7 linked regions of the Rattus norvegicus genome follow. The protein of the gene in region 1 interacts with the protein of each later gene in a pairwise test. Links are inferred from orthologs where the notes say so. Each region holds a gene or a part of one and is shown in the gene's direction. Other genes may lie near its edges.

Region 1 (4,399 bases):
AGCCTGATGGTGGTGGCTTTGGCAGTGTCCTATGACCTCTCTGCAGAGCGATTCGCTTGGGTACAAATAACTTTCCAAGATGCAGAATTTTTCCAGTCAGATCCATTTCTCAAAACTTTTTTTTTCTTTTTCTTTATGTGTGTCTGTGTGAGCATCTGCATGCATGTGTCCGTGTAAATGTCTATGTGCACGTGTCTGTGAGCCCATGAAGGGCGCTGAGTCTCTTGGAGTTACTATTACAGATGGGTATGAGTGCTGGGATTTGAACTCCAGTCCTCATGATTGAACAGCAGGCTCTCCCGGTCACTGAGGCATCACCAGTCTATGCTTGTTTCAGGTTTAAGCAAATTTAGCATCCTTGCAATGGACTAATGTAGTTGTGGACCAGAATCACACGCTCTCACGTCATAATCCTAAGGCAGGTCTGGGCCTGGTACAGCAGCCACCTCTTGCCTTTGAGCTGCTCTCCTAGGATGATGCCACAAGGGCGAGCCAAGGGCTGGTGACGTAGCCCAGTTAGCAGAATGCTTCTCCAGCATGCTTGAGACCCCGAGTTGACCCCCAGCACCACATAAATGGGGATAATGGTGCTTTCCCCTCAACCCAGCACATCGGATGTAGAGGCAAGAGGATCAGGAGTTCAAGGTCATCCATGGCGAGAATGAGTTCAAAGCTAGCCTGTCCTACTCAAGAACCTGTCTTTAATAAGGGAGAAGGAAGAGATTGTTCTCTGGGGAAAGCCACTTGTCACCAGTTCTGAGGACCTGAGTTGGATTTCTGGCACATGCTGCAGAAAAAGAATTTTCTTTTGTCCTGTGACTTCCACTTGTGCTCCAGGTTGCACCCACCATTCCCCCTAAGTAAATAAGTGTAGGGTTGCTTTTTTATATAAAGGCTGGGCAAGAACAAATACGGGGCAGACATATGGAACAAGATGTTCTCTCTCTCTCTCTCTGGTCTGCCGTTCCACTTCTGAATCATGGAGGAGGGCCGGGTCACTGGCTAAGCCTGTAGAGGAAGCGATGACGCAGTCTACAGGTCTGTCCAGGTCTTGCCCCCCACCTGGGCCCAGGTATGGCACCTCTCCCACAGGCTAGTTTACACTGCGTTTCTGTTTGGAAGAAGGTCCCAAGCCAGAGCACGGAGACCAGTGTTCGGAGGAGCCTTTTCAGTGACAGCGATAGAGCCCCACACGCCACTGGCCACCCATTCCTGACAGTCATGGCCACTCAGTCTGGGACAGCTGTGTCTCGCCTTACATGAGCTAAATTGGGAACTGGAATGTCACAGCGGTGCCCCTGTGTCCCCACCCCCACAGTAACATTAGTCTCTCTCGGGAGGAACAAACAGTGCTGCCCGCAGAGCGAGCAAGAGGGTGGTTTGGGGAGACAGGAGGAGAATCTCACAGGGAGAGAGAGATAAACTACAAGTGCCTGGTGAGGGTTCCGAGCAGACAGAGTGTCTGGAAATAGCCCAGGGAGAGAGGAGCTGTTAGAGGAAGGGACAGGAAGCACCGCTCTTTCCAGAGGGAGCAATATCAGGGATCCCAAGAATCTACAGTCAGCCTAAACTGACAGCGGAAGGGCGCGCAGGCAGGGGGAGAGAAGGCCAGCAACAGGGCCACAGCAAGGCACCAGAGCACCGCGGGATGAACTTCACGGTGGGTTTCAAGCCGCTGCTGGGGGATGCACACAACATGGACAACCTGGAGAAGCAGCTCATCTGCCCCATCTGCCTGGAGATGTTCTCCAAGCCCGTGGTGATCTTGCCGTGCCAACACAACCTGTGCCGCAAGTGTGCCAACGACGTCTTCCAGGTGGGCTGGGACAGGTGGGGGACGGTGGGGGACAGGTGGGGGTCGGTGGGGGACAGGTGGGGGACAGGTGGGGGATGGTGGGGGACAGGTGGGGGTCGGTGGGGGACAGGTGGGGGACAGGTGGGGGACAAGTGGGGGATGGTGGGGGACGGTGGGGGACGGTGGGAGTCGGTGGGGGACAGGTGGGGGACAGGTGGGGGATGGTGGGGGACAGGTGGGGGGTGGTGGGGGACAGGTGGGGGATGGTGGGGGACAGGTGGGGGATGGTGGGGGACAGGTGGGGGATGGTGGGGGTCGGTGGGGGACGGTGGGGGACAGGTGGGGGACAGGTGGCGGATGGTGGGGGAGAGCCCACCCCTGGGAGCCGGTGAAACTGCCCTGGCTGAGAGGCAGGAGAGTTGAGGGTCCCAGAGTAAGGTCCCAGAGTAAGGTCCCAGAGTCAGCATGAGTCAGCAGCTACCCTGAGGCTGGTAAGCATAACCTGTGTCTACAGCAACTAGAAAGTGGGGTCCACCCAGCACAGCAGAAACTGGAAAGGAAGATCGATGGTCTCGCATGGGCTTAGTGGGAGCTTGGACTAGATTTCATTCATTTTGAGGCTTTTATATGTATATGTATATACATATACATATACAAACACACACACATATGAGAGAGAGAGATAAATTTTTTTAAACAAACTCTGGAGAAAAGATCAAGGATATATTGAGATCTTTCTCTCTCTCTCTCTCTCTCTCTCTCTCTCTGTGTGTGTGTGTGTGTGTGTGTGTGTGTGTGTGTTAGCTAGTGTGGCTACCAGACCTCAACTTGAGTTTGATTCCCAAAACATAAATGATGGAAAGAGAGAACTGACTCACAAAAGTTGACCTCTGACCTTCACTTATATGAACACAGACAGACAGGCGCACACACACACACACACACACACACACACACACACACTTTAAACAATAACCTGGTGTGGTGGTGTATGTATGCCTGTAATTCGAGCACTTGGGAGGCTAAAACAAGGGGATTGTCATTGTTTGGTTTTGTTTCTGAGTCAGGGTCTCTGTAACCCTGGCGGCTGTCCTGAAGCTCACTATTCAAACCGGGCTGACCTTGAACTCACAGAAGATCCTCTTGCCTCTGCCTCTCTCGTACTGGGATTAGAGACATCGCTGCCATGCTAGCAAGTGTCACCTTATTTACATAGTGAATTCTGATCCAACTTGGGCAACAAAACAAGACCGTTTCAAAAAGTAAATAAGAAAGAGAAAACTAAAATTAAAAATTGTTGGGGCTGGGGATTTAGCTCAGTGGTAGAGCGCTTACCTAGCAAGCACAAGGCCCTGGGTTCAGTCCCCAGCTCCGAAAAAAAGAACCAAAAAAAAAAAAAAAAATTGTTGGTAAACCGGTGAGAAATCCTTCCATACCAACAGAACTGTGTGTATTTGAGGCAGAGCCCTCTGTCCCTGAGGGGTCTGATAAGACACAGTGGGCCACAGCAGGAACATTCTCTCCAGTTTCACACCGGTGATCCTTCCTGACCTAGTAGGAGATAAATGGTATCCAGGCGACTTACAGACAGACAGACAGACAGACAGACAGACGGCAGAAACAAAATTGTACTTCCCAGAAATGCCTGGGTGTCTGTGGTCATGAGGCCAAGCATAACTAGGTGAAGTCACAGCACTATTTTATCTACACATCTCCAACGCAAAAACAGAAGAGCTGAGCACGGCTGCAAACCCAGCCCTTGGGAGGTTAAGGCTGGCTTGGGCTGCATAAGACGCTGTCTAGCCAACTAACTAACCAACTAACTAACTAACCAACTAACTAACTAACCAACTAACTAATCAACTAACTAACCAACCAACCAACTAACCAACCAACTGACTAACTAACTAACCAACTAACTAACCAACTGACTGACTAACTAACCAACTAACTAACTAACCAACTAACTAAATAAATAAACCAGAGTCCTTTATAAGTTCCTAGGCTTGCCTCCTGGCTCTGTGTCTTGGTAGAGGTCTGAGTAGTTTATGACTGCATCAGAGGTCAGGGAGAATGAAGGAACAGAACTCACATGTACAGACACCGGACCTCACAGATGAAGTAACCTGGATTCCTCAGAGCTGGCTCTCCTGGTGGGCAATCTGTGATGGGAACACCAGGAATACACTTCTTGCCAGGAGCCAGCCTGGGATCCAGCGAGGAAGGAGCACCACAGGCTGGAGGCTAGCCTGCTCTATGTAGCAAGTATACCTGTATACCTGTAGAGTAAGACCCGTCTCAAAAGAGGAAAAGATAACTGTCTGGGGCTGAAGAGAGGACTCGGTGGTCAAGAGCATTTGTTGCTCTCCCAACCAACCCAAGTCCAGTTCCCAGCATCCACGTGGTGGCTCGCAACCATCTGTAACTCCAGTTCCAGGGGCTCTGATGCCCCCTTCTGACCCCCATGGACACCATGCATGCAGGCAAAATACATACACACAACATAAATCTTTAAAGTAGAAGAGTAAGAGTTCTCCCTCCTTATCACAGTGTGAGGAAATGAGTTGAGCACAGATTCCCCTCCCCCCTCTTCCTTCCTCTGGT
Region 2 (3,786 bases), on another chromosome or scaffold:
CTTTGGTTTATTGGCAGGAGTCTGCCTAAAACATACTCAGTTGTCAAATTCTATTCATAACTTGGGGAGTCACACACATGGGATTCCACTCTTCCATTTGCTTCCACCTAACTAGGAGAGATGACAGCACCGCAAACCGTGACTACGACTTCATTTCAGTAACTCATAAGATGCTATCTGTAAAGCATTCTGATGAATAAAATTGAGGGGGCCCTGAATTATTCCTGAAGCGCTCCATGTACAGCACGTGCAGGTCTCCAAGAGCCGGCCCTGCTTTTCTCCCAATTTATTATATTGCAGAACCCTTAATTCCATCTAAGATGCCTCTAAAGGAGACAAAAGCAGTGGACCAACCGCAGCCATTTTGAACAGTGCTGTCCCAAGATGCTGCTGCTGCTTGTTTATTAAGGAAGGTGAGGGAGTGATATAAAGGGAGGAAACTGGATACAGTTTTAGCCTTTCCCAATAAATTTTGAGTTCCAAGAAGCCAGGCTATGAAAACGTTCTCTCTAGGGACTGAAAGAAAGCGCAGAAAGAAATTGAAACTGTGCTAAACGTTATATTTAGTAAACTAAGCCACTGCATAAATATTTAATCGCTGGAAGCACAGCCAATACTAAGCAATATCATTTCATCGAGGACCCACAATGAAATTGAAGTTCATTCCCAAGGCTGATATTCCGGTTCTTCTTCAATTAATCCGCACAACTCCTTTGTGTACCTAATCAAATCACTGCACTCTCAGATTAAATGCTTCATTCACGTGCATTTCCCGTCTCAGGACACCAGTCGCTTTTCATTTCTGCAAGTGGAGTAGAGGCTCTCGTCCTGACTCCAAACCTTTGCTGCTCTCCAGGGTCTCCGGTTTGTGCCTTACTGACCATTCCGTTCTGAATAGTTCAAGTCTTTGCAGCAAATCAAAGCATTTCCAGAATTCTCTCAAAACACAGACACATCAGCCCCCCCCCCCCCCCCCGCCCCTAGAAGCAACAAAAGAGCAAAGAGACAAACACAACAGCAACAACAAGAGAATTTGGAATGCTCAGAACCAGGGCAGTTGTACAGACCGACAGTGTGTCGGGGATGGGGAAGGTGGTGGTGATGGTAGGAAGTGTGTGCGAGCTCCAGGCTGCAGCACACCACCCTGTCGGCCTTTGTCAGCTATATATATGTATGTATATAATATTATATATAATACTGAACCCTGAACCATTGCCAAGACTCATCTCAGATACCTCACTGTTGCCCAGAGTCAGGGTAACACTACTGCTTGTTACTCAAGGTGTCCAGGGGCAGGTTTTATGCAAATTCCCAGCTGCTGTATACCTCCCCACCCTTGATGTCTGATGCCCCAAGGCTGGCTGGGCTTGACTTTTGTGCTCGCAGGCTGAGGGATGTAATGTTTCCCTGACCTTTCCCATTGGAGTTCAAGGCCACTACACAGCTCCCTGTTGGTGCCGATAGCCCCAAGGCTCGCTGGTGCTTTGTGCTTGCAGGGATGCAGTGGAGACAGATACAGATTCAGCATTCTCTACCGCATGCAGCTCTGTTCTGCCGTCTTCCAATTCTGTGAGCCCACTATTAAAAAACATCTCCCCATAAAACTTGCCGCCACCACCACCTCTGCCCTTAGTTGTTTTGGGGCTGTTGCAGGGCTCTGCAGACTGACTCATCACCCTTCAGAGACTCCATGGGTCTCTCAATCCTCCTTGAAGCATGAGATACATGAGTCTTTTTGAGAAATTGTCTTAACATGCTTTCCTGTAAGCTTTGCCCAAATGTATGTATGTATGTATGTATGTATGTATGTATGTATGTATGCATGTCTGTATAGGCATGTATAAAATTGTTGCTTGTTTCATGCCACTGGAATAAAACAGAAACCTGGGTACATCCTACCCCATACCAGGCAATTACTGTAAATACAAATGGAGGAGAGAAAGAATAAAGAAAGAACTAATAACAACAGTAGTTTGGAATGAGAGAGACAGGGGGAGACAGACAGAGAGAGAGACAGAGAGAGAGAGAGAGAGACAGAGACAGACAGCGACAGACACACAGAAAGATACAGAGAGAGAGAGAGAGACAGAGACAGAGACAGAGACAGAGACAGAGAGACAGAGTCAGACAGATAGAGACAGGGAAAACATAGAAACACTGAGTCCTGGTAGACTTGAAATTGAAGCATCACAGAACCTAAGCTCTGAAAGATAAGAGACAAAGTGAGAAGAAAAGTATCCTAGGTTGAATAAAGATGCTGAGACATGGTCATGTTTCATCTGGCAAAATATGTATGTATGGATTTTCAACTTCATTTTCTTTTATTTGCAGGGATATGGACGCCTTTTTATTCACAAGATCAAGCACAAACATATCTTGGCTAAAAACTATTTTTCACAGGTCCCAGTGCTGGCTTCACTTATACTTAAGGATGATGAAATAGAAGCTATCAGAAGTAAATACTCCACAGAGAATCCTCCTAAAATCATAGTACCCCATGGGATTGTACCTAATTAGAGTCAGGAATGTTGATTTGATGATGAGCATTTTTGTTCTCTACGAAGAGAATAATACAAAGGTCATGAACAAGGAAAACCACCTATGAATTTTTATTTCTATTATATATTTTACTCACAATATTTTGTTATATGAAGAGAAAACATCCGTATACAAGAACCCGTGTTAGGTGGTTTGGAGTCTATAAATTTGATACTAAGATTAATAGTTAAAGAGAACACTTTTATTTTTATCCATTTTCATTTGAGGAAAAGTGCTCTATAGTCAAAATACATCAGTGAAACAAAACCTTGGCTTAATCTTCTGTGAAAGTAATTTACTTATTTAACATATATTTTATGAGTATAATCACTCTATACGTAAGCCTGTATTTTGAGATAAGTAGTTGAATATTTTACTTTTATTGTCTACTTTTACCTGTTAACTGCATAATACAAGAAAAGAAACTGTAACAGATAAGCATAAATCTGCATCGCACGCCATGAAACAAGGCAAACAGTGGAAATGTCACGTTACATGCTTCCTCCGGGGAAGTGTTGAGATTCTGTAAGAAGCATAAACTTGATAAATCAACTGTCCACTGCTTCTCAATAAAGTAAGCAATAACTCTGACTCCATATCTGTCTGAAATATGTGGCGACGATGACATATCCAAAGGTGGCACACCCAAAATAGCATGATTCGAGAAGAGCTTATTTCCAGAAAGGCCCTGCTCCAAGACATATGTGATGTAGGGAAACAGAAGGAATCCAGGGCCACGTTTCAGATATACAAAATCTGATGGAGAAGCCAGGGAACCCAGAGAGAATGGAAAGGAGATAAGTAGGTCACCGAGAGGACTAGCAACCAGCCTGCAAAATTTGACCTCATGGACTAGAAAAGAAATCCTCAGTCTCACACCCCTCCTTTGCACCTACTACCTTCTCCATTTGGGACCAGAGGAAAAGATTCAGAGTTTACATGGCTCTAGAGGGAAGGGAAGCAGAGTTAATGGTTCAACAGACATGGAGAGCTAAATAGAAAGCACTGGGAAAGAAAAACAACAGAAGGTGACGATATAATTCAAACTAGCACACCTCGTGTCAATAGAACTATAAAGAAACACATTTTAGTCCAATTCTATGTAGATGGTGTTCTTTCAAGTCTAGTGATTAATACATTCATTATAAATATTTACTCTATAAATGTTTAATATTTGAGCAACACGTACCTAACATATCTACAATTTTTCCTTACATGGCTGTCTTAGTTTGGGCCTCATTGCTGGAA
Region 3 (3,776 bases), on another chromosome or scaffold:
CCATCCCACCAGCACGCCTCAGCAGTTTCTTAATATGGTAATTTAAGACAGGGTCTCAGTCTATAACCCAGGTTGCCCTCAAACTCTGTGATATGTCTTCCTGGGCCTCCCAGGAAGACAGGTAATTCTGTATACAAAGCGTGCTTGTTTTGCTGTGGGGTACCGGGGATTAAAGCTGTGTACTGAAATCTTCACCAGGTATAGAATTCCACCTTACAGCCACGTACCTGAGGCCTCAGACCCATGTGGTATGTTTAGTTTCTGTTTTAAAGTCAGATCTTTCTCAGTAGTTTGAACAAGATCGTTTAGACCCTGGGAAAACCTGGAGAGGATCCAGATCATTCAGTCTTCCCTCTGATTTCAGACTTCAGCGGGAGGAGGAAGAGGCCTTCGCTAGCAGCCAGAGCAGCCAAGGAGCCCAGTCCCTCACCTTCTCCAAGTTTGAGGAGAAGAAAACCAATGAGAAAACTCGCAAAGTCACCACAGTGAAGAAGTTCTTCAGCGCCTCTTCCAGGGCTGGATCCAAGAAGGGTAATTTTCTCTTTTCTTCTTCCAGGCCTGAGTAAGCTGCAGGTTAGATCTAGAAGGCAGGTGGGCTCAGCCTTCCGCTTCTGTAAGCCCAAGAAAGTTCTAGACCAGATTTAACATGGAAATCGAGTTTGATGGCCAGGCAGTATGTGAAGAAATATTCTCTTTGACTTGAAGAGACACTGTTTTGTTTTGTTTTTTTGTTTGTTTGTTTGTTTGTTTTTTTTTTTTTTGGGGGTTCTTTTTTTCGGAGCTGGGGACCGAACCCAGGGCCTTGCGCTTCCTAGGCAAGCGCTCTACCACTGAGCTAAATCCCCAACCCCGAGACACTGTTTTTTTAAAGAAGTTTTTTTTCCTGCAGGAGTACTAAAGAGAATTGAAACATGTAGCTGTGTTGATAAAGATACTTTATAAACACGCTCATCCAAACTGTTCATCATCGGCTACTTGATGGTTTTGTCTGATATTTTTCATGCTTTGTTTTTTCTGATCCTTGTTTGTTTACCTTGTGTAATACCCACTGTGTCCATAACTTAGGAGATGAAGCTGTTTCTAAACTTGAAAGTCTCCTGAGAGCCTTTCTCTCTTAAAGCTTATTTCTTATACTTTTAGGAAACAGACAGGAAAAGACTCATTTGGGGCTCTTGTGTATTTTCTTTTCTTTTTTCTTTTTTCTATTTTTCGGAGCTGGGGACCGAACCCAGGGCCTTGCGTTTGCTAGGCAAGTGTATTTTCTTGTGGATGGATTTGTGTTTGTTCTTAAAAATGTTATGTTTGTAGATGCCTTGTTTGCTTAATGTCTGTGCACCACTGTGTGCCTGGTGCCCTCAGAGGCCAGAAACGCGTGTCAGATGCCTTGGAACTGAAGTTACAGACGGCTGTGAGGTGCCATGTGGGTTCTGGGACTCGAACTTGGGTCCTCTAGAAGAGCAGTGAGTTGTCTTAAACACTGAGCCGTCCCACCAGCTCCTCCTCATTCATCTACTTTGTGTGTGCGAGCCAGAGAGTGACATTTCCTATCTCCCTTCTTCTCCACCTTATTTTCTTTATAAGATTTATTTATTTAGTGTATATAAGTACACTGTAGCTGTCTTCAGACACACCAGAAGAGAGCATCGGATCCCATTACAGATGGTTGTGAGCCACCATGTGGTTGCTGGTATTTGAACTCAGGACCTCTGGGAGAGCAGTCAGTGCTCTTAACTGCTGACCCATCTCTCCAGCCTGTCCTCCCTTTATTTTTTTAAGCAGGGTGTCATAGACCTCCCTGTTTCAGCTTGACTGGCTGGCTGTTGAATCACAGGATCTTCTTGTCTCTGACCCTAAGCTTGGGACTACAGGCTTCTACCACTATGCCTGGCCTTTGTGTGAATTTTGAGAGTTCAGCTGAGGTCCTCGTGCTTGTGCTTTTATTGACTGAGCATTTCCTAGCTGCTGTATCTACTTCTTTTCCTCATTAAAAAATGCTAGTGATGGCTCAGCGGTTAGGAGCATTGACTGCTCTTCCAGAGGTCCTGAGTTCAAATCCCAGCAACCACATGGTGGCTCACAACCATCTGTAATCGTGTGTCTGAAGAGGGTGACAGTGTACTCACATATGTAAAATATATAAATAAATCTTTGAAAAATGTTTTAAGCTGGGCAGTGGTGATACATATCTTCAATTCTAGCACTCAGGAGACAGAGGCAGGTGGATCTCTGAATTCAAAGATAGCCTGGTCTTCACAGTGAGTTGGAAAGTAAGGGCTACACAGGAAAACCCTGTCTCGAAAAAAAATCCAAAGTTTTCAGGAAACTGTGTGCATCTATCTTATGTGCGTGCAGTGCTCGAGGAGACAAGAGGAGAGGGGTCCCTGTGGGGCTGGGGCTGCAGGTGGTTGTGAGTTGTCTGATGTGGGTGCTGGGAATTGAACTTAGATCCTCTGAAAGACAGTATGTGCTCTTAACTGCCTGAGGCTCTCTTCAGCCCTCATCTCTTCTTAAAATAATACTTAAGGGCTGGACAGATACCTTAGTAGTTAGGGCCCTTGTTTTTTTTTGTGGAGGACTCAAGTTCTGTCAGGCAGGTGCCTGTAACTGCAGCTCTAGGGGATCCAGTGCCTTTGAGGGCACCTGTACACACACACACACACACACACACACACACACACACACACACACACACACACACAATAATGAAAATAAAATTTAGGATGTTTAAAATGCTGTATAAAGGAGTCATTAAAGGCATAGTGATTTGTGCTTAGCTGTTCATATAGAGGACCTAGATTTGATTCCCAGCACCCATGTGGCAACTCCAGTTCCAGGGAATCCAGTGCCCTCTCCTGGTCTCCTCAGTCCCTGGGCAAAGAAGTGGCATACAGATATTTATCCATATAAAATAAAATTAAAACAAATAAATCTAATCAAAGGCTCAGTGTTCTCTCAGTGAGCTTGTTGAAGAGGCTCAGAGCGAGGCTGGGAAGCCATTTAGTTATGTCTCAGTCTCACAGCCCTGACTCAGGGCTCAGGACTTAGGTCAGTGAGTCTGAAACAGTGAGAGAGACTGAAAGGAAGCAGTGATGCTGGCAAGGGACTGCTTTTCTAGAGCCCCACTGCCCTTCTAGGGTAATTTAAAGGCAAAATGAGCAATGATAGCCCCCTTAAAACCCTTTCTTGTCTTCTAGATAGGATTATTGATATATATACATAGACAGACAGACAGCATATACGGGCCTTTTTGTTTTGTTTTTTTTTATCTAAAGGAGCAAATTCCTTGAAGCGTATCTGGCCAGCGAAGTGCTTCTAATCTGTTGTCTGGGATATCTTTGTATAATTCTGGTGATCCACACGGGGCTGAGGCCAGGATTCACGTTCACTCTCCTTGTTCTTTCTTTAAGACATTTTGGGGTAGGGGAAAGAATATGATCAAAATATAATTGTATGAAAAAAAAACTCTAGTTTTTTAAATTCCAAAGTTTGGCTTTGCCCCAGCACAGTGGCCCAGTTGGTAAAGGCACTTCCTTCAGGCATGATGACTGGAATTTAAATGGACCCCCAGAACTCAGGTAATAGAAGGAAGAAGAAACGGAATCCCCAGAGTGTCTTCTGACCTCCATAGGTGCACGGCAACATGTGCATGCCCAAACTTTAAGTACACACGTGTGCATTTACACACTAGCCAGACAGCTAAGTACATGTTAATGTAAACATTTAAGAAGACGCTCCGCCTTGTCTTCAGTATTGGAAGGTCATGCTGTTAACACCTA
Region 4 (4,246 bases), on another chromosome or scaffold:
CCTGAATGTCTGTGAGAGAGTCAGATCCACTGAAACTTGAGTTGCAAGTTGCCATGTGGGTGCTGGGAATTGAACCTGATTCCTCTGGAAGAGCAGCCAGTGCTCTTAACCACTGAGCCATTGTCCAGCCCCATTGGGTTCTATTCTTTAAGGTTTGAATGCCTAGTGTACTTTTGGCTTGTTTTTAGTTTGGACTTTTTGAGAAAAGTCTCCCTATTTATCCCTATCTGTCCTGGCCTTGAACTCACTCTATACCCCAGGTTAACCTCACCCCTTAGCCAACCTCCTACCTTGGCCTCCCCAGTGCTGGGGATACCCTATGTGTCACCACCCTTAGCTTTGAAGGCTTATTTTGAACTCTCCTGCTGAGTCCCTCTCCTCACGCTACACCGTTCTCTTCCCCAGATTTTCTCTCCCACATACCCCACTGATTCAAGGTGGTCGGATCACTGGGTTAAGTCACTGAAACTCAGAAGATCTCCTCAGTTCATGGGGTGACCTTGACAAGTGCCTTTCAGAACCATCACCAGTGAGTGAGTGTTAGAGGGAGAAACTGGGACTGGACTGGGACCGGCTTATGTGTGGGGACATCTGAGGGCACTGAGATGTCTGCAGAAGAGGAGGGGCTGGCAGAGTTTGAAAGGGAGAAGGCTCCGGTGGATGGAGCCTGACTGTCTGGTTTTGGTATGGGAAGAATAGAGCCAGACAGGGATAAGATGGGGGTGGGGGTGGGGGGAGAGTTAGCCCAAGGCTTAAAAATGGGGCAAGGGTGGGGGCCAAGACAAGCCCTGAGCTAAACAGAAAGTTAGGAAAGTGACAGGGCAAGGCAGATGTCCCTGAGGCCATGGAGAGGAGGCTGCTGACCTCTGAACCACCTGTCCCTGAATTACCTGTGGGTGAGCCTGGGCCCCTCCCTGGAGCAAGGGTGGGCCTGGCCTACTGTCTGGAGGGTGGGGCAGACAGGTGGTGGGGTCTCCTTCAGAGTTCAGGAGGGCTAAGCTGATGGGTGCTTATATTACCCCAGACGCTCTGAGATCAGCAGCCAGCTCAAGTGCTCCTCAAGGGTAGCCACTTAGCACTTGCCACCTTCAGTATGGGAAGTGGGTGCCTGTGCCTTTAAATTCTCAGCAGGTTGAAATGGCTGATGACATCACTGGTTCCTGGGAGCTGAGGAGCTGGAGCCAGAACCCAAGGGAGCCAGGCTGGGCTGCCGGGGTCTGCTGCAGACATGGAGGGCCAGAGCAGGAGTGGTAGTGCCAAGTCGGGGACCAGAACTGGACTGGGACCCTTGCCTGGGACCCATGGGGCTTTGCAAACTGGGACACCCTCGAAGGTAAGAACCCCTAAACCCTAGCTAGCCCCCATTCCTGATTCCTAGTCTCACACTCCCCCACCACACGCACTCTGCAGGCACCCTGGTGCCCCTGGCTAAGGGACTGGTACTTTTCTGTGCCTGCCAAGCAGAGGCTGGGCAAAAAGGTCACGCTGGAGGGGCAGTAATGGGATGCCCATAGAGAAAAGGAACCAGCCACAGCCAGGAGTCCCCCAGAAGCACTCTGGATTGGTTGTCAGAGGACCCAGCTGTTCTCCAGCTCTGCTGTGTGACCTTGGACAAGTGGCTTGTCCTCTCTGAGCCAATGCAAAATGAGGGGGCTTGTGTCTGAAGACTAGAACTGTGACATCTGGGATGTCTAAGTTGTTAGTGCTGGAGGCGGTATGGTGCTTGGGGGGGAGGGGGCACACAGTGGGACACTTGGAACCAAGGAGAGTATCCAAAATGCTGCCTCAAAAAGTGGAGTTCAGGGAGGGAGGTGGAAGTAGAATTCCAGGTTCTCTGAACCGAGAAGGACAGGGACAGAGACTGAACTGCATCTCCAAAGCAGGATGGGGCCACCCTGGGGCGAGCATAGACCTTCCTCCGTCCTCCCTGGCAAAGGATGCTTTCTCCTGTCCTCTGGAGAGTGGGAATAGCATAATCAGAATGGACAAGGCAGGTGTTCTCCCCCCTGCCAGGTATAAAGAATACCCATTTGCCTATCCTCACAGGTGGAGAAAGGACAGGCAAGATAAGAGGGCACAGTCTGGGCAGAGAGAGGCGTGGCATTAGACCGCACTGACTGGCCAAGGAGGGTGGGCTTACTCTCCAGCATTCAAATCCCAGGAAGTGTTAGGCTCAAGTATGGCCCCTTGCTCTGAACGCACACACTTTAGGATGTGGTATGGTCAGGGACCCTTCCAACAGCGCGTTAATTTTACAGATGGGAAACAGTCTGTGGGCTGAGGAACATTTGCTTCAAATCCCAAAGCTGGGATTTGACAGTCTCCATTGCCAGCTCTTGACCCTGCATGGCCCACTGGGAATGGGTCAGCACAGGCAGGACTGTGACCAAGGGGTCAGGAGTGGTGGGTAGAGTGTGAGGGTCACCTGAGGGACACTGGAAGAAAGAACATGGAGGGACTTGGGGTGTTTGAGTCAGCGCCCTCTGTAAGAGGAGCGGCAGGGGCTGCCGTGAGAGCTGCCCTGGAAGCTTGTCAGGTTAAAGCGGGAGTAGGTGCCAGCCAGGAAGGCTAGGAGAGCACTCAGATTCGGGCTCATGCTCCACTCAGCCTATTCAGGGTTTCAGTCTGTCCGTCTGTGAACAGGGTTTCAAGATTAATATGGAAACATGACTTTTGTATCCTTTTGTATCCTGTCTCTTCTGAGAAGGAAACTGACCTGGAGCAGAATGGATTGGAGAGAGAGCAGGCAGGCTTTCTTTGGAAGGATCTGCCCTAAGCTGTGTCTGCTGAGGGCTAAATGGAAGTGAGGGCTCAGCCCCTTGCTAGAGTCACTCTGAGTCATCTATTTGTCCTCTAGAAGGTAAATTCAAGTTTTCAGCTTCCAGCAAAGAACACGGGCCCAACACCCTCAGAACCAAGATTGGCCCTGGCACCGGTGGGACCACGAGCAGCTGTGTCACCTCCTTCAGAGAGACCAAGACTGGCTTTGTCATCTCCCCGACCCATCCTAGCTCCACTGTCCACCGCTGGCGAACAGAAAAGACCTCCACCTCACCGCAGCTCCAAGCCGGCTCCCACGTCTGTGGGCCAACTGGTAGTATCTGCCGCTGCAGGACCAAAGCCTCCGCCAGTCGCCTCGGTCTCAATCCTGGCTCCGAAGTCTCTGGGGCAGCTAGTAATATCTGCCTCTGCTATGCCAAGGCCTACTCCGGCTCCTCTAGGGCCCATTCTATCACCAACTTCCAGGGATCAGAAGCAGTTATCACCCACCTCTGTGGGACCTAAGCCAGCATTGGCAACCTCAGGCCTAAGCCTGGCACTGGCCTCTCAGGAGCAGCCCCCACAGTCCCCCTCCAGTCCTTCCCCTGTGCCCAGTCCCGTTCTGTCACCCTCTCAGGAGAGTCACCTGGCTCCAGCAACTGTGACATCTACCCCAGCTTCCGAGAGACAGTTGCCAGCTAGACAGAAGGATACGGCAGTTCGCAGGCCCATTCCCCCTGCAGACGGGTGTCTCCATACCCCAGTGCAGGCAGCTGGTCTTGCCACCTCTCCTCCAAGGGCCCAAACTTCCTCAGATCCTCGGCTTTCCCCCTCCTTCCGCGCAAGACCAGAGGCTCCGCGCCACAGTCCCGAGGATCCCGTCTTGCCGCCGCCACCACAGACCCTGCCCTTGGATGTGAGCTCAGGCCTTCCAGAGTCTGGCACCCGCTCCCCTGGACTTCTGTCCCCTACCTTTCGGCCAGGAATCCCTTCAAACCAGACTGTGCCCCCACCTCTGCCCAAGCCACCTCGGTCTCCCAGCCGCTCCCCTAGTCGTTCTCCCAACCGCTCTCCCTGTGTGCCCCCAGCCCCTGAGGTGGCACTCCCAAGACCTGTCACCCAGGGTGCAGGGCCTGGCAAGTGCCCAAGCCCTAACCTACAGACACAAGAAAGCCCAGTCGCCACCGCCACCTCACCAACGTCTTCTTGGTCAGCTCAGCCTACCTGCAAGAGCGACCCTGGATTCCGGTGAGGGCCTGGCTCTCCCTCATTTAAAGTTACTGGGACTTGAAAGGAGAGACTGGTGACTGCATTTTAAACTCAGTTTACCTCGATAGGAATGGATGGGAGCGGGGCGCTCCTGGACCTACTTTGGGACCCTAGAAGATGCTCTCTCTCTCTAAGGGATTTGCTTCTTGGGTTTATCTCCCCAGGAAGGTAGTTGGGGATGTTAGGCCTACTTTGTGTCTTTTCTAAAAACCCTTAC
Region 5 (3,776 bases), on another chromosome or scaffold:
GGTTTATTGGGACAGCTGAGACAGGGGGCAGGGGAGTGGGGAGAGTGAGGAGAGAGAGAGAAAGAGAAGGGAGAGAGAAGGAAAAGAGGAAGGAGCCAGGAAAGGCCTGCCTTCTACTTGAAATGTCTTGTAACTGCTCCCAGATGAAGGTGGGAGCTGAACCAAAGGTATGCTGGGAATGTATGGCCGTTGCCATGGGTGACTAAAGTCACTGCTGGAGGTGAAAGCAGTTTCTGATACCAACACTTGCAACTCAGAACAGCAGCGAAAGTTTAGATAATAAGGTCAAAGTTGATCCCCAGCAGACTGTGGTAGATGAAGTTCCGCTCGCTACCAACCGCTCGTCTTCTCAACCTTTCCCATAAACGCTGGCTATGCAATTCTGAAGAAACTAGAGGGTGAGTTTTATAAGAAATTTAACCAGAATGCAGCAGATGCACGTGGAATGGCCCACGAAGAAGATAAACATACGCGCATATCGTGTTAGAAGAGCGCAAGCCAAAAATTAAGACTGAGTACAATTCATGGTGATGCTGTCCATACTTCACTCAGAATGGTGGAAAGAGTCGAAAAGAATTAGCTAGGAGCTTTTAGTTGATAAACTAAGTAAGCGTTTGTGATTTTCTGTCATTGTTTTCTAAGATTTCCTGGTCCCGGGTAGCACTCAAGGCCATGACCTGTGGCCTGAGGGAGGAGAGCATGGAGAACAGCCCATCCTAGGTCTGTCTGCACAGGTGATGCTAGTTTACCTCCCCTCCCCCACCCCACATCAGACACATGGAGTCTTCCTCACAGGCATCTCGCCTCGCCCGTGAAGTCTTCCTAAGTACTCAAGGCTGCTCGAGTTTCCCCTTTGCTTTGATCTACCCTCATCTGTTCATCGGAAACATGAGAGTTTATAGTGTTATATGAATTTCACAAGACCACGTCTTGCTTCTTGACAGCTGTCTGTCATAGGTGAGGCCCTGAGAATCGGGAAGCACTGGCTTACAGATGGTGAACGGGGCAGCCAAAGATCCTGTTAGGTGACATTTAACCACCAAGCAGGCTCTTTCCCAGTTGTGCATACTGGCTTGGGTACAACCCTAGTGACTCGAAGAATGTTGTCACCAGAGGAAAAGATTCACGTCAGGTCATTTGCTCTTATAATGGGGTCCCAAGTAGGCAAGTAGGCCTTTAGCACCCCAAGATGACCCTTCCACAGCCTTGGATTCTGCCTTTCTTCATTAGCAACTATGGGATTCCTTATCAAATACTTTCCCCCCAAGTGTTTCAGCACAGGACAAAAGTACACACTAATACGGCAAGAAGCATAATGGCAAAACTGTAGCTTTTGGAAGCAACAAAGGAATTAAACTTTTTCTTTGAAGAATTTTACATGCACTTATCTAAGTGCCACATTTAAGTAGTGAGCTATACTCCCTGGTAACCAAGAACTGCGTTTATTTGGCCTGTAAGGTTGCATAAGTGAATGCAGACTGGGTATATAATACCCTCACACGAACAGTCCAACACACGCAGGTCCCTCGGTTCCTGAACCATGAATTCAAGAGGCAGCAGGGTGTGCTAGGGAGATCACAGGCTCTCTGGCTGACGGCCTGGGTTTGCACCTGCACCAGTGAGGAAGGAAGCTTGCCTTTCTCTTCTTCCAAACCCCTGGATGCCTCATGCCATTTGTGAGGGATGGATCCAAGCCCTCAGAGCCCTGCAACATACTTAGGCAATGGTCAGTGAGCGTTAGATATTAAGATTTATTTAGAAAGGAAAAACCATCTGTAGCTAATCAATCATGTATTTCTGGTAGATCTTCATACTTTTACTTTGCACTGACTTTATAACCTATTCTGGTTATTCCCTATTCTCAAAATTCCTGTAAGATCGGGAATCATGATTTGCCCGCCATTTTAAAAATGTATGAAATGGGGTTGGTCCCTAAGCACCAGACGTCGTTTTCATAATAGCCTCCTTTTTAAATGTTGATTTCCAGATGGAAGCTATCCCCAAAGAAGACCTTTTATTGCCTGAGCAAAGGAAGGAGCTCCACAAAGAGGTTGACCTGGCTAAGAGAAATCTGGCTCAGCAGGTTAATATCAGTCACATGTTTATCTCAGAATGGAGAATAAAATGGTGTCTCAAAAGTGCTCCCTAAAACCACGTCAGAAAGAGAATGCTAAGGGACAGGAAGTGGCAGGGAGGGCGGGAGAAACTGGGGAGGCAGAAAGTATCAAATGATGATTGACGTACGTGTATACGGGAATGCCACAGTGGAACCCATTCATATTTATAATGATATAAACAGATAATACAATATGCATTAATATTTAGAGTAAAAGTATGATGTTACAGCCCTGCTTCCAATGGCCGATTTTTCCACTGGGGAGGTTTACTGAGGGTTGAGTGCAATGTCCAAGCCCGCTAGCCAAGTGTCGTATATCCGTGAGTATACACACACCACCCTCACCTTCAAGCTCATTCCCACACTGTTTTGTTCGTTTGTTTGTTTCTGAGAAGAAGGGAGGATGTGTTTGAAAGGACAAAACTTTCCCGGGCTATGTTTCTAAAAAAAAAAAAAAAAAAAAAAAAGGCTGTTGGTTGCATAAAAGTCAACCTTGTTTCCCCAATGTCTGATTTTAAATTCCAAACTTTTGTCAGCCAAACTACTGTGGAAGTGTTTTAAAACATATTTTTAAACTCCTCCTAGTCATTTAAAAACACAGTAAGGAACAGGGTTGATGGCACTACCCCACTAGTTTCCACCCTTCATAAAACAAAGGGAAACAAACTTGGGGCTTGGCCTCTTAATAAACTCAAAAGGAAGAGGCTGGGCTCCGTGCAGACCTTTCTGGGCTCCCTCAGAAAGCGAATTCTCACCCTGTGCTTTTCAAAAGAGATCTCTGTCAGAAGCCGAGGCCAAGTTAGTCGAGCAGCAGATTGCGGAGGAAAACAAGCTTTTAAAGGAGCAAGAAACTATGCGTGAGGTGCTGTTCAACCTCGGGCGAATGACTCAGATCAAAATGGAAGAGAAAGAACAAAAGGCTAAGGACTTCCTGAAATCCCAGGTAACCGCCCTGTTATGGCTGCCCGCTAATTACTGCGCAGGCGCAAGCGAGCCTCCCCTTAACGGATTATTCATTATAAGGTGGTAATTCCACATCACATTCTTTCAAAGTCAGTGACAACAGAGGACACTCAGTCATACCCTGGAAAACTAAGCCAAACCAGGGGAAAAAAAAACAAAAAAACAAAACAAAACAAAACAAACAAACAAAACCCTCAGTATCCAGTTATCCAAAGTAGGTCTAAAGGCTAAAGAGAAGCAGCAGCACAGTAATCAGAGATCCGAAAGATGGCAACTTCAGTAAGAATGAAGTGAGTGTCCCTGGTGGCCATGAGCCACAGAGAGAATCTGCAAGTCACAGAGCCGCAGATTCCAAGGTGGCAACTTAGGATCGGAGCATTGGACGAGTAATCAGACAGCATCCCATGGACCAGTGCCCGATGCTCTTAGCTGCGGCTTCATCCCAGGATCACCCCAGACTCCTGCAAAGGGCCACAGGCAGCAATCATAAAGCAAGCATACGTGTACATGCGCGTGCACGCGTGCGCGCGCGCACATACACACACACACACACACACACACACACACACACACACACACACACACACAGCAGAAGCTAACATTTTAAAACTAGACTCAGGGGGCTGGGGATTTAGCTCAGTGGTAGAGCGCTTATCTAGGAAGCGCAAGGCCCTGGGTTCGGTCCCCAGCTCCGAAA
Region 6 (4,243 bases), on another chromosome or scaffold:
CCATAGCTCCCCTGCTGGTGATCTACTGGATTTTCCTCAGAAAAGATCCTGTGCTTGAGAGGGTACGTGGGTGACTCCTGCCACCTACAGGCTGCTGTTGCTCATCACTGGGACCAGTCAGAGCTGGTACTACTCAGTAGGCAGTCCTTTCATGGGGTCAGTCATCAGCCAAACACAGCATGGCTGAAGGCCCTGTGGTTCTCTTACTGCCTGTGCTGTGGCAGGGTCCTGCAAGCATTAGTTCAGTACTCAAACACAGGGTTCCCTCTCTCAGAATTTGTTTAGTTGGGTTTAGCTTAGAGCAAGGGCCCAGCGCCCAGGAGAGGGCAGAATAGGAGTTGGTATGAAACTAGAGAGCTGTGTACACATATGGAAAAGCTTTGTTACCTACAGGAAATTCCATGCCTTTTCCTTATGGTAAAGATGTCATAACTGATTGAAATGGTCAGCCCAAGCCATTTGTATATGCCATTTGCACTCTGCCCTCCTGGCTACTGTGGGTACAAAAACTCAGACACTGACTTTTGGTACCAGCACACCTGCCACCATCTATAGCACAGAAGAGGAGCAGAGTCTCTTTCTCCCTTTCCTGGGCATGGTTATGGTCTTCCTGAGGTACTGCCTCGGTACCTGATTGCCTCAGTACCCTCCCCTGTTCTCAGTGTATAATGTGAATTGGATGACCCTGACTGAAGCCTGTCATTGTCACTTCACAGGTTGGGAGACTGAGACATAGAGCAACGTGCAGAACTTGGGGTTTGTATTGTTAGGCTGACTTCAGAACCTGAATAGGTTTTTGTTGTTGTTTCGTTTTTCTTTAGAGACAGGGTTCCCCTGTGCAGCTCTGGCTGTCTTGGAACTAGCTCTGTAGACCAGGCTGGCCTTGAACTCACAGGGATCCGCCTGACTTTCTGCCTAGAGTGCTGGGATTTAAAAGGCATGAGGCTCTATTGCCTGGCTAAAGCCTGAATTCTTGCGGAGAAACCGTTTCAGAGTTCCGGGCCATCTGCGCAGAGGCAAGAACGCCCCAAACTCGGCTTGGTACCAAGTGAGGTGAGTGAGTCGTCCCACTCCCCACGCGCGTCTCTGAAGTGGAGTAGATCAGTGGAGGCGACCGGAGTGGATCAGTGAAGGCGGATGGGCCGCCAGGGCGAGCGGCTCCGATGGGTTGAGGTAAAGACCGGAGCGCAGCAGGGTAGTTCTCCCCGCTCCTCTAGTTCCACCCTCTCCCTGGCATTCGGTTGGCACGTGGGGCCGAGTTCCCGCGGAGGAAGCTACGGAACTACCTTTTCCAGGGGCCCGCAGGCCGCGGGCCGCGCAGTCGTCTGGGAGTTGTGGTCCCGGGGGCGGAGACTCTTTTTTTTTTTTTTTTTTTAATTGTATTGCACGCGGCCGCCAGGCGGAGGTTTGGACCGCGGATCTAGGCGGCGGCGGCCGAGGTCCGGCCGGGCGGCGCAACCGGCGCAATCCGCCGCCACCGAGGTAGTGATGGGCAAGGAGGAGGAGATTGCTCGTATCGCCCGGAGGCTGGACAAAATGGTGACCAGGAAGAACGCGGTGAGGGGCGCGGGCCGCCAGGACCCTGGGGCCCCGCTCCGTGGACACCGTCTGAATGAAACCTAGCCCAGGCAGTCGAGACCCCTTGCCCAGGCCCGCCCTCCACCCTGCCGCTTCGCTATGGACGCCACGCTGACCGAGAGCCGCCCTCTGTTCGTCGCCCGGCGGTGGCCGCGGGCGTTCTTGGCCCAGCCGTTGTCTCCCCTGTCTGCCCCCACCCTTCAGAACCAGGTTTCTCTAATAAATTTTTCCCCTGCTTAGTCAGGCCTCAGGCAACAGCAAGTCGGTTTGGGCAGACAGTAGAGATTCCGAGTCGAGCCTGTGGCGTTGAGACCTGAGGAGATGATGGCCCCTCGCCTGGTCCCTAGCCAGTGTGGGTTCGGCAGTCCAACCTCCGACCCGCGTAGTTTTGGGAGCATCCTTAGGGGATGATGGCACCTGCATCTTGCCTTCCGTGGGTGGGAAGGGACGAGGAGGTGGCCTTAAAACCGAGTATGACTCCAGAGCATCCGCGGCACCGCTCCTAGGGCAGCCCAGATAGTGGCTGAGTCATGAGTCTTTTCCTCAGGACTGCTTGAAGTAGAGGGCTGCGGGATAGCTTTGGGGGATGAGCAGGTTTGCTCTGAGGGTTGCAGGGTGGGGGTCTAAAGCAGGAAGCAGGTTAAGTTCCCATATATGCCTTTACACTGGAAACAGAAGCCGCCTGGTACTGCTGGTGCTTCTTTCCGGTAAGGGCGTTAAAACACAAATGACAAACTTGGAACCGAGGGTGGCAGAGATGGGGTTGGGATCCATAGGGAGACACAATAAGGATGGAAGGCCACAGATAGGACTAAACAGTTGAGAAGGGAACCTGCAGAGGTCCCAGTAACCTGAGAGGTTCCTTGGAACAGCTGGTGGTTTGTTTGGGCTTTTCTTGTGGGAATGCAGGGCTGTTGTGGATCAGTGCCCCTGGCTCTAAGGATCAGGTCTTCTTAGGAAAGTCAGCCACTTGAGGGCTGATTGCTGTACAGCCCGCCTTAGGGCCAAGATACAAGGCTGCAGGCTGAGCAGGTAATTCTCACAGATTGAAGGGTTAGCCCAGCCCCTACCACTGCCTCTAGTAAGGATGGTTTGAATGGCTGGGTGGGCTCTCCTTGCTTTTTTTTTTTTTTGTGGCTTGTAAGACAAATGAGCTCATAGTGGCAACTTGGAGGACAGCAAACACAATAGTGTTGGGTGTTAGAAGAGTCTGTCTCAGTTGTAGGAGTAAAAACTTGAAGTGGTAGAAGAGCAGCTTTAAACAGAGTTGGAGGGTTTAAGGTAGGACAAGAAGAGCCTGCCTACCCTTGAGGTTTGAAGAATGGAGCTTGGGCAGAGGAAGAAAATCAGGGTTGTCTGTTACAAACCTAGGAGGAAGGTGGTGGTTAGTTTGAGAAAGAGATAAGAAGTGGGACTATGGGATTTGTAGGTGTTAGCTTTTAAAAGAAAACTAGCATCCTTTCCTTTGTATATTTTAATTTAATTAATTTTACATTTGTTAGCGTGGTGTGTGTGTAAATATGAGGACGACCCCTGGAAGCTGGTTATCTCCTTCCACTATTTGGGAGCTGGAGATTGAACTTAGGTTGTACAACTTGTTGGCAAGCGCCTTTATCTGCTGAGCCATCTCACCTGCCCTCTTTTTTGATACTGGGTATTGAACCCAGGGCCTTAACTTGCCAAGTAAGTGCTTTACCACAGCTGTGTCTAGATGGCCCTCTCTTTACTTTGTTTTAAGACAAGGTCTCATTAGGATTCCCATGCTAATCTTGAGTTCACTCTGAGACTCAGATAAGCTTTGAACTTTTGATCCTCTTGCCCCAGCCTCCTAAGTATCTAAGATGATAAGGCCTGTGTCACCAGGTTTGGTAGTTTTCAATTAGCAATAATTGTGCCTCTGATAAACCTCATTGGCTATGGTGCTGTAACTTTGCAAATCTGGCTAGAGCAGAGATTCCTGAGAGTTTAGGTAGAGAGTTTTAGGTAGGGACAGGAAGAACCTGCCCACTCTGGAGGTGCAGCCTATCTGCAGATGCTGAAGAAAAGCCAGGGCAGAGGTTTGTCTGTTACAGTGCCCGGGAATAGTGCCACACTGATGGCTAGGCACTTTGAGGAGAGCCTGCTCTGCCACCATGGCATAGGTGGACTAAGGTTAAGGAACCTGAGTGTCCTTCCATGTCGAGCAGGAACTGGGGCTTTTCTTTTTCTCTAGTAGCTTGTTCAGTGTCCTCCTGTGGTTACCATGATGTCTGGAGATCAGCATAGATGCAGGGTGAGAAACCACCTGATGTTTGAGGACAGCATGGTCGGGCTGTTTGTCTCTATCCTTGCCCTATGGCAAGATCAGTAAAAAGCCCCTGCTGTGATGTTGGAACAAGTATGCAATGCTCTGGGAATCTCAGTTGTCCCACATGTGATCAGAACGAGGTGGGGTTGTCCACTAAGCCTCCCAACTAGTGTTCTCTGTGTAGTCCTGACCATCCTGGAACTCACTCTGTAGGCTAGGCTGGCCTTGAACTCAGAGATTCACCAGCCTCTGCGTCCTGAATGCTGGGATTAAAGACATGTACCACCATTACCCAGCATCCACTAAGGTTTAAAGTCCTTTATGGATGTCCATTTTCCTTCTAGGAGGGAGCCATGGATTTGCTGCGGGAGCTGAAGA
Region 7 (4,329 bases), about 97 Mb from region 1:
CAAATCAAAGCACAATTCCACAAAAGTTTACTTTGGGGAAACAGTGAGTTTGTTGGGCTTCCTTACAGAGCATAGGTAAGGGATTTGAGACAGGGTTTCACTGTACGGTCCTGAGTGTCCTGGAACTTGATCTATCAGTCTGGCTTCAAACTCAGAGTCCAGTCTGTCTCTGCCTCAAATGCTGGGATTAAAGGCTTGTGGTACCACACCCAGCTAATAAGAATAAACCTTAAAAAATAATAAAGTGGAAAGAAATAGGGGAAGACACCTAAGTTTACCTCTGACTTTGGCATATGCAGCACAGGTACACACACACACACACACACACACACACACACACACACACACACACACCCCATACAATGAAAAAATGCACTATGCTTGCCTCACTCCAAATGTACCAACCATCTTGGCTTTGCACCACAGAATATTGGGGGTGTGTCTATTGTCTTCTTTGGTGGGGCTGACTGAGCCTCAGTTTTCTGAGGTTATGAGAGTCACCTGTCATTAGCTCAGGAAAAGAGCCAAACAGTGTCTATCCAACATTATCGTTTTTTACACCGAAGTGAAGTAGAACCATCTAAGTCCCAGAACCTACTAAAATAGTTATGTGCTATATACAGGAGCCCCACACAGCACTCAAAATAACTCCTTCAGGGGTCAAGGGCTGACAAACAAACCTTTTAATAATATTTCCTCTTTGATGTCCAGTAATTATGAGCTTGTATACAGGGTGACTCACCTACACCTGGTTCAGTATTGTGTTTTCTACACACCCCTACAGCCACAGAGCCACGCTCAACCATCTCGAACGTTCATCCATTCAACAGATATTACCTGAATGCCTGTCTGATTCATGAGTTACAAAGAAGTAAAATATTATTTGTTGCTAGACAGCAGCCGGCAGGTAACTTAAATGTCTGACACTGGGCGCGTATTTCCTAAGCGCGTGTCTTCTGATCTTGAAAGAAATACACTTATGTATGTGAACTCGTTGATTAATTAACGAGGGCCATCTAATCTTCCAGATGCCTTCAATTTGCAGTTTTAGTTAAAAGTCCTTCTGTCTTTGCAAACCGGACCTGCTTTCTGGATTGGGCTAACTCCTTTGCTAGCTAAAAGCACTCTGTGTCTTTAAAAGGAGGGCGGCCTCCTGTCAAACGGGCCCCAAAACATAGGCCGAAGGCGAGTGCAGTCCCACCCACTTTCTGTGACGTCCCGCGTCCGGGCTTCTGATTGCGGGCCTCCGACGTCAATCGCGGGCCGTGCGTCTTGCTGGGACACAGTGGAGGTCTGCGCTCCGGTCTGAGGGGCGGTCGGGTGTATTCTGCACTCACCCCACACCCGCGAGGCCCGCGCCGCCCGACCCAACGGCGGAGCCGCCCAGCGCCTCCCCTGGCACCCGCTCGCTCCTCGCTGGAGCGAGACGTGGCCCGACGGCTCCGGTCACTATGGTCAGTGGTGGCGGGACGGGGAGGGGGCGCCGCCAGGGCGCGTGTGCGTGCGCGCGGTCGGGCGCGAGGCTTTAGCCCTTTCCACCCTCGGGATGGTGAACATCGGAGTGCGCCCGCCGCGCTATCCCTTCGGGGACCCACAGCCAGAAGATCCAGCCCAGGCTGAGCCCTGCTGCCTCGTGGCCACTCTAGGTGGTCCCCAGACACCTCCTTTAAGTCCTGATGCTTATGCCTGACTGGGAAGGAATGGGATACCTCTAGGGTTGTGGTCTCTACTCTTTGTTAAGTAGCACTCGTGTAGACAGCTTGCAGTCCACCCATCACAGACTTAGCCACCACAGACAGACCATACCCCAGCCAGTTGTCCCCAGGGACGAACGATCCGACCACCCGGGCAAGCCTTAATACTCCTTGATGTAAACTCAGTTTCCTAATGGCAACAGGTCTGTAGAGTCAGGACACATGAAGAGGCAGCCCCCGGTTGTGAAAGATGAGTTAGGAGTCCAGGCAAAGTGATTTAGAAGAACTTCCTAACAGAGGAGACCCAAGAAAACCTGGGCTGGTCAAACCCGGTCAAACCCAGGGCTTGGGCAAGTGGGGAAACTGAGGCCAGACAGGGAGAAAAGAAAGCTGGTAGGGATTGTGGTGGTGCAACAGCTAGGACTTGGACCCAAGCCCCTGGTCCAGTGTTCTGTGTTGCATCAGCCTACCCTCCAGGTTGCCATGGGGTCAGGCCTCCTACAGGGGATTGGATATGCTGGTTAGCCTATGTTATTCAACTTCCAGCAAAGGGCTCCAGGGAGCCTGACCATCTAGTGCTACTGGTCAACTTGGGGTCACTTAGTTCTGGGATTGCCTGCTCTTTCTGTTTTGTTTGGTGATGCTGGGTTTTGAACCGTTTTTCATGCATGCTAGATAAGGCTTGACTGCTAAGCTACACTCCAGTCTACTTAAGTCTGGGCTATCCCAATGGTTATTATGAGGAGTTGGGGTGGGGGGTGGCAGGGAGTGCAGGGGTGGGGAGATGGGGGGGGAGGGAGTGGCATGGGTGGTGGTGGTGGTGGTGGATGTGGTTTTCAACTAGGGTGTTTGAAATCCAGAGATTGGGTGGTGCAGGTGCCTGGTTCTTTGTGCTTGCCCCTCCTCCCACATTTGGGTCACTACTTCGGGACACTGTGAGGCTAGGGCCAGAGTCAAACCTGTGCTGGTATGGATAGACAGCCAGGGTATCTTCTTACAAGTCATTCTCCTGCCCTGTGGGGGAGGGGTGCAGTGTGTGTGTGTGTGTGTGTGTGTGTGTGTGTGTATCTCTCTGTGTGTGTCCGTGTGTGTGTGTCTGTGTGTGTGTCTGTGTGTCTGTGTGTGTGTGTGTAACTCAAAACTGGGGACGGACTGTAAGCACTAGTTTCCTGCTTGTTCTTGGTAACCCAAGGGTTTACTTGCTCTGCTGCTCTTGGAAAGCGGCCCAGGTATTTCTGCATTACCTGCCAGAGAATCGGGCTGTTGAAATGACAGTTTTAGCCACGCAGAATGGAGAGAGGATGGAGGATGGAGGAGGCTGTGTAGCTTCTGGCCACCAATGGTGGGTAGCAGATAGCAGACCAGTGCAGTAGGGACTGGGACCCCAACTTGTGTCCCTTACTGAATAGCTGGATCTGACCTGAACCCAGGAGACCAGCAGCTGGGACCCAAAGCAACTTCCCTCTGGGGAGTTTGGGTGCCTTGGAGAGGGAAGGGGAACAGGAGAAGAGAGGAAAGAGAGAGGAGAGGAAAGAGAGAGGAGAGGAAAGAGAGAAGAGAGAGAGATAATAGTTAAAACCCACCAAATAGGACATCTGCCTGGGAGTCACGAGGACAGAACTAGATGCTGTTTACATTGTGTTTATTATACACCCACTGTGTATTCGCCACCTTGTTAAGTCCTGAGGCCCATGGCTCATTTACCTGTAATGTGTTTAATGCGTTTAAATGTTGGCTGAGGTTACATGGCATGGGTGGTAGATGCAGTCTTAGGACTGACAGAATCTTCCTCTGTTTCCATGTCAGTGCCAGACAGAAGCCATGGAGTCCTTGGGAGTCAGGGCTGCAGACAGTGAGGGGCTCACCCTCACTATGTGTGCGTTTGCTCTTGGGGATGAGTGAGTGTGAGTATAGGCAGTCCGGGCACCCGTTCCTGTCTGCCTTCTTCTCTCGTGCATTAAAGAAACCAACGCTGGCATCCCCAGCCTATTTTGGGGCAGTGATAAGAAAGAACGACACCTGCCCTCTCCCGGAGTTCATGCTCTTGGGCTGGGTCACAGCTCCTGAATTACTGAGATGGCCTGAGAGCCCAACAGGGGCCTTGCACAGAGGAGCACGGTACCCTTCACCCGTAGGAAAAAGCTGGTGCTCAAGGTTGTATAGGAACATTCAGGAAGGACTGGCAAAGAGTACATTGCAGGTAGCAGGGAGATTGCCTTGGGACATGGTCAAGTGTGGGCATCCTGGGAAGAGTAAGATTGGGGGAGGCTGGGGGGAGCCCAGGGCAGTGAATCTGGGACAGGGGACAGGATCAGGGCTTTGCATGGGGGGCGGGCTGTTTAGTTTGGGTTGTCTGTACATGAGGGAACTGTTAGCATTTTTGACGAATATGGAATGGTTGCTAGCTCTGTCTGTCTGATGCTGGGTTGTGGGTGGCCAGCTGGAGGGAGAGGCAGGCTCGCTCATTCAGCATGCTTGCCGGTGCTACTGCAACAAAACCCTTCCGTGGGCCAGATCCACAGGGACTGCTTTTCCGATGAGTCTGGAGGCTGAGGTCTCAGGTGAATGTGCAGGGAGGGGCAGAGTCCCTCTGAAGGTGCTTAGGAATGTTCTACCCCCAGCTTCCCCAAGCTTC

What was found.
Region 2: the proteins of Trim54 (region 1) and Iqub interact in binary tests that used the Homo sapiens proteins (3 or more experiments, as listed by UniProt). The link is inferred for Rattus norvegicus from reciprocal best matches to the Homo sapiens genes TRIM54 and IQUB.
Region 3: the proteins of Trim54 (region 1) and Rabgef1 interact in binary tests that used the Homo sapiens proteins (3 or more experiments, as listed by UniProt). The two-hybrid records come from large-scale screens. The link is inferred for Rattus norvegicus from reciprocal best matches to the Homo sapiens genes TRIM54 and RABGEF1.
Region 4: the proteins of Trim54 (region 1) and Inpp5j interact in binary tests that used the Homo sapiens proteins (3 or more experiments, as listed by UniProt). The two-hybrid records come from large-scale screens. The link is inferred for Rattus norvegicus from reciprocal best matches to the Homo sapiens genes TRIM54 and INPP5J.
Region 5: the proteins of Trim54 (region 1) and Ccdc146 interact in binary tests that used the Homo sapiens proteins (3 or more experiments, as listed by UniProt). The two-hybrid records come from large-scale screens. The link is inferred for Rattus norvegicus from reciprocal best matches to the Homo sapiens genes TRIM54 and CCDC146.
Region 6: the proteins of Trim54 (region 1) and Tcea2 interact in binary tests that used the Homo sapiens proteins (3 or more experiments, as listed by UniProt). The two-hybrid records come from large-scale screens. The link is inferred for Rattus norvegicus from reciprocal best matches to the Homo sapiens genes TRIM54 and TCEA2.
Region 7: the proteins of Trim54 (region 1) and Otub2 interact in binary tests that used the Homo sapiens proteins (3 or more experiments, as listed by UniProt). The two-hybrid records come from large-scale screens. The link is inferred for Rattus norvegicus from reciprocal best matches to the Homo sapiens genes TRIM54 and OTUB2.

What each region holds. Positions count from the first base shown.
Region 1 is NC_086024.1:30,975,541-30,979,939, reverse strand, and holds the start of Trim54 (tripartite motif-containing protein 54), read left to right. Parts: upstream 1-1,464; 5' UTR 1,465-1,648; coding exon 1,649-1,816; intron 1,817-4,399. UniProt on the Homo sapiens protein: May bind and stabilize microtubules during myotubes formation.
Region 2 is NC_086022.1:53,896,679-53,900,464, reverse strand, and holds the end of Iqub (IQ and ubiquitin-like domain-containing protein), read left to right. Parts: intron 1-2,331; coding exon 2,332-2,517; 3' UTR 2,518-3,129; downstream 3,130-3,786. UniProt on the Homo sapiens protein: Adapter protein that anchors the radial spoke 1 (RS1) complex to the A microtubule of outer doublet microtubules in axonemes. The triple radial spokes (RS1, RS2 and RS3) are required to modulate beating of the sperm flagellum.
Region 3 is NC_086030.1:32,117,603-32,121,378, reverse strand, and holds part of Rabgef1 (rab5 GDP/GTP exchange factor), read left to right. Parts: intron 1-364; coding exon 365-531; intron 532-3,776. UniProt on the Homo sapiens protein: Rab effector protein acting as linker between gamma-adaptin, RAB4A or RAB5A. Involved in endocytic membrane fusion and membrane trafficking of recycling endosomes. Stimulates nucleotide exchange on RAB5A. Can act as a ubiquitin ligase.
Region 4 is NC_086032.1:82,605,838-82,610,083, reverse strand, and holds the start of Inpp5j (phosphatidylinositol 4,5-bisphosphate 5-phosphatase A), read left to right. Parts: upstream 1-1,186; 5' UTR 1,187-1,228; coding exon 1,229-1,333; intron 1,334-2,857; coding exon 2,858-4,008; intron 4,009-4,246. UniProt on the Homo sapiens protein: Inositol 5-phosphatase, which converts inositol 1,4,5-trisphosphate to inositol 1,4-bisphosphate.
Region 5 is NC_086022.1:14,670,205-14,673,980, forward strand, and holds part of Ccdc146 (coiled-coil domain-containing protein 146), read left to right. Parts: intron 1-1,987; coding exon 1,988-2,083; intron 2,084-2,888; coding exon 2,889-3,059; intron 3,060-3,776. UniProt on the Homo sapiens protein: Essential for sperm flagellum biogenesis and male fertility.
Region 6 is NC_086021.1:189,172,417-189,176,659, forward strand, and holds the start of Tcea2 (transcription elongation factor A protein 2), read left to right. Parts: upstream 1-1,409; 5' UTR 1,410-1,488; coding exon 1,489-1,557; exon of another isoform or gene 1,558-1,677; coding exon of another isoform or gene 1,678-1,788; intron 1,789-4,209; coding exon 4,210-4,243. UniProt on the Homo sapiens protein: Necessary for efficient RNA polymerase II transcription elongation past template-encoded arresting sites.
Region 7 is NC_086024.1:128,308,609-128,312,937, forward strand, and holds the start of Otub2 (ubiquitin thioesterase OTUB2), read left to right. Parts: upstream 1-1,254; 5' UTR 1,255-1,451; coding exon 1,452-1,454; intron 1,455-4,329. UniProt on the Homo sapiens protein: Hydrolase that can remove conjugated ubiquitin from proteins in vitro and may therefore play an important regulatory role at the level of protein turnover by preventing degradation.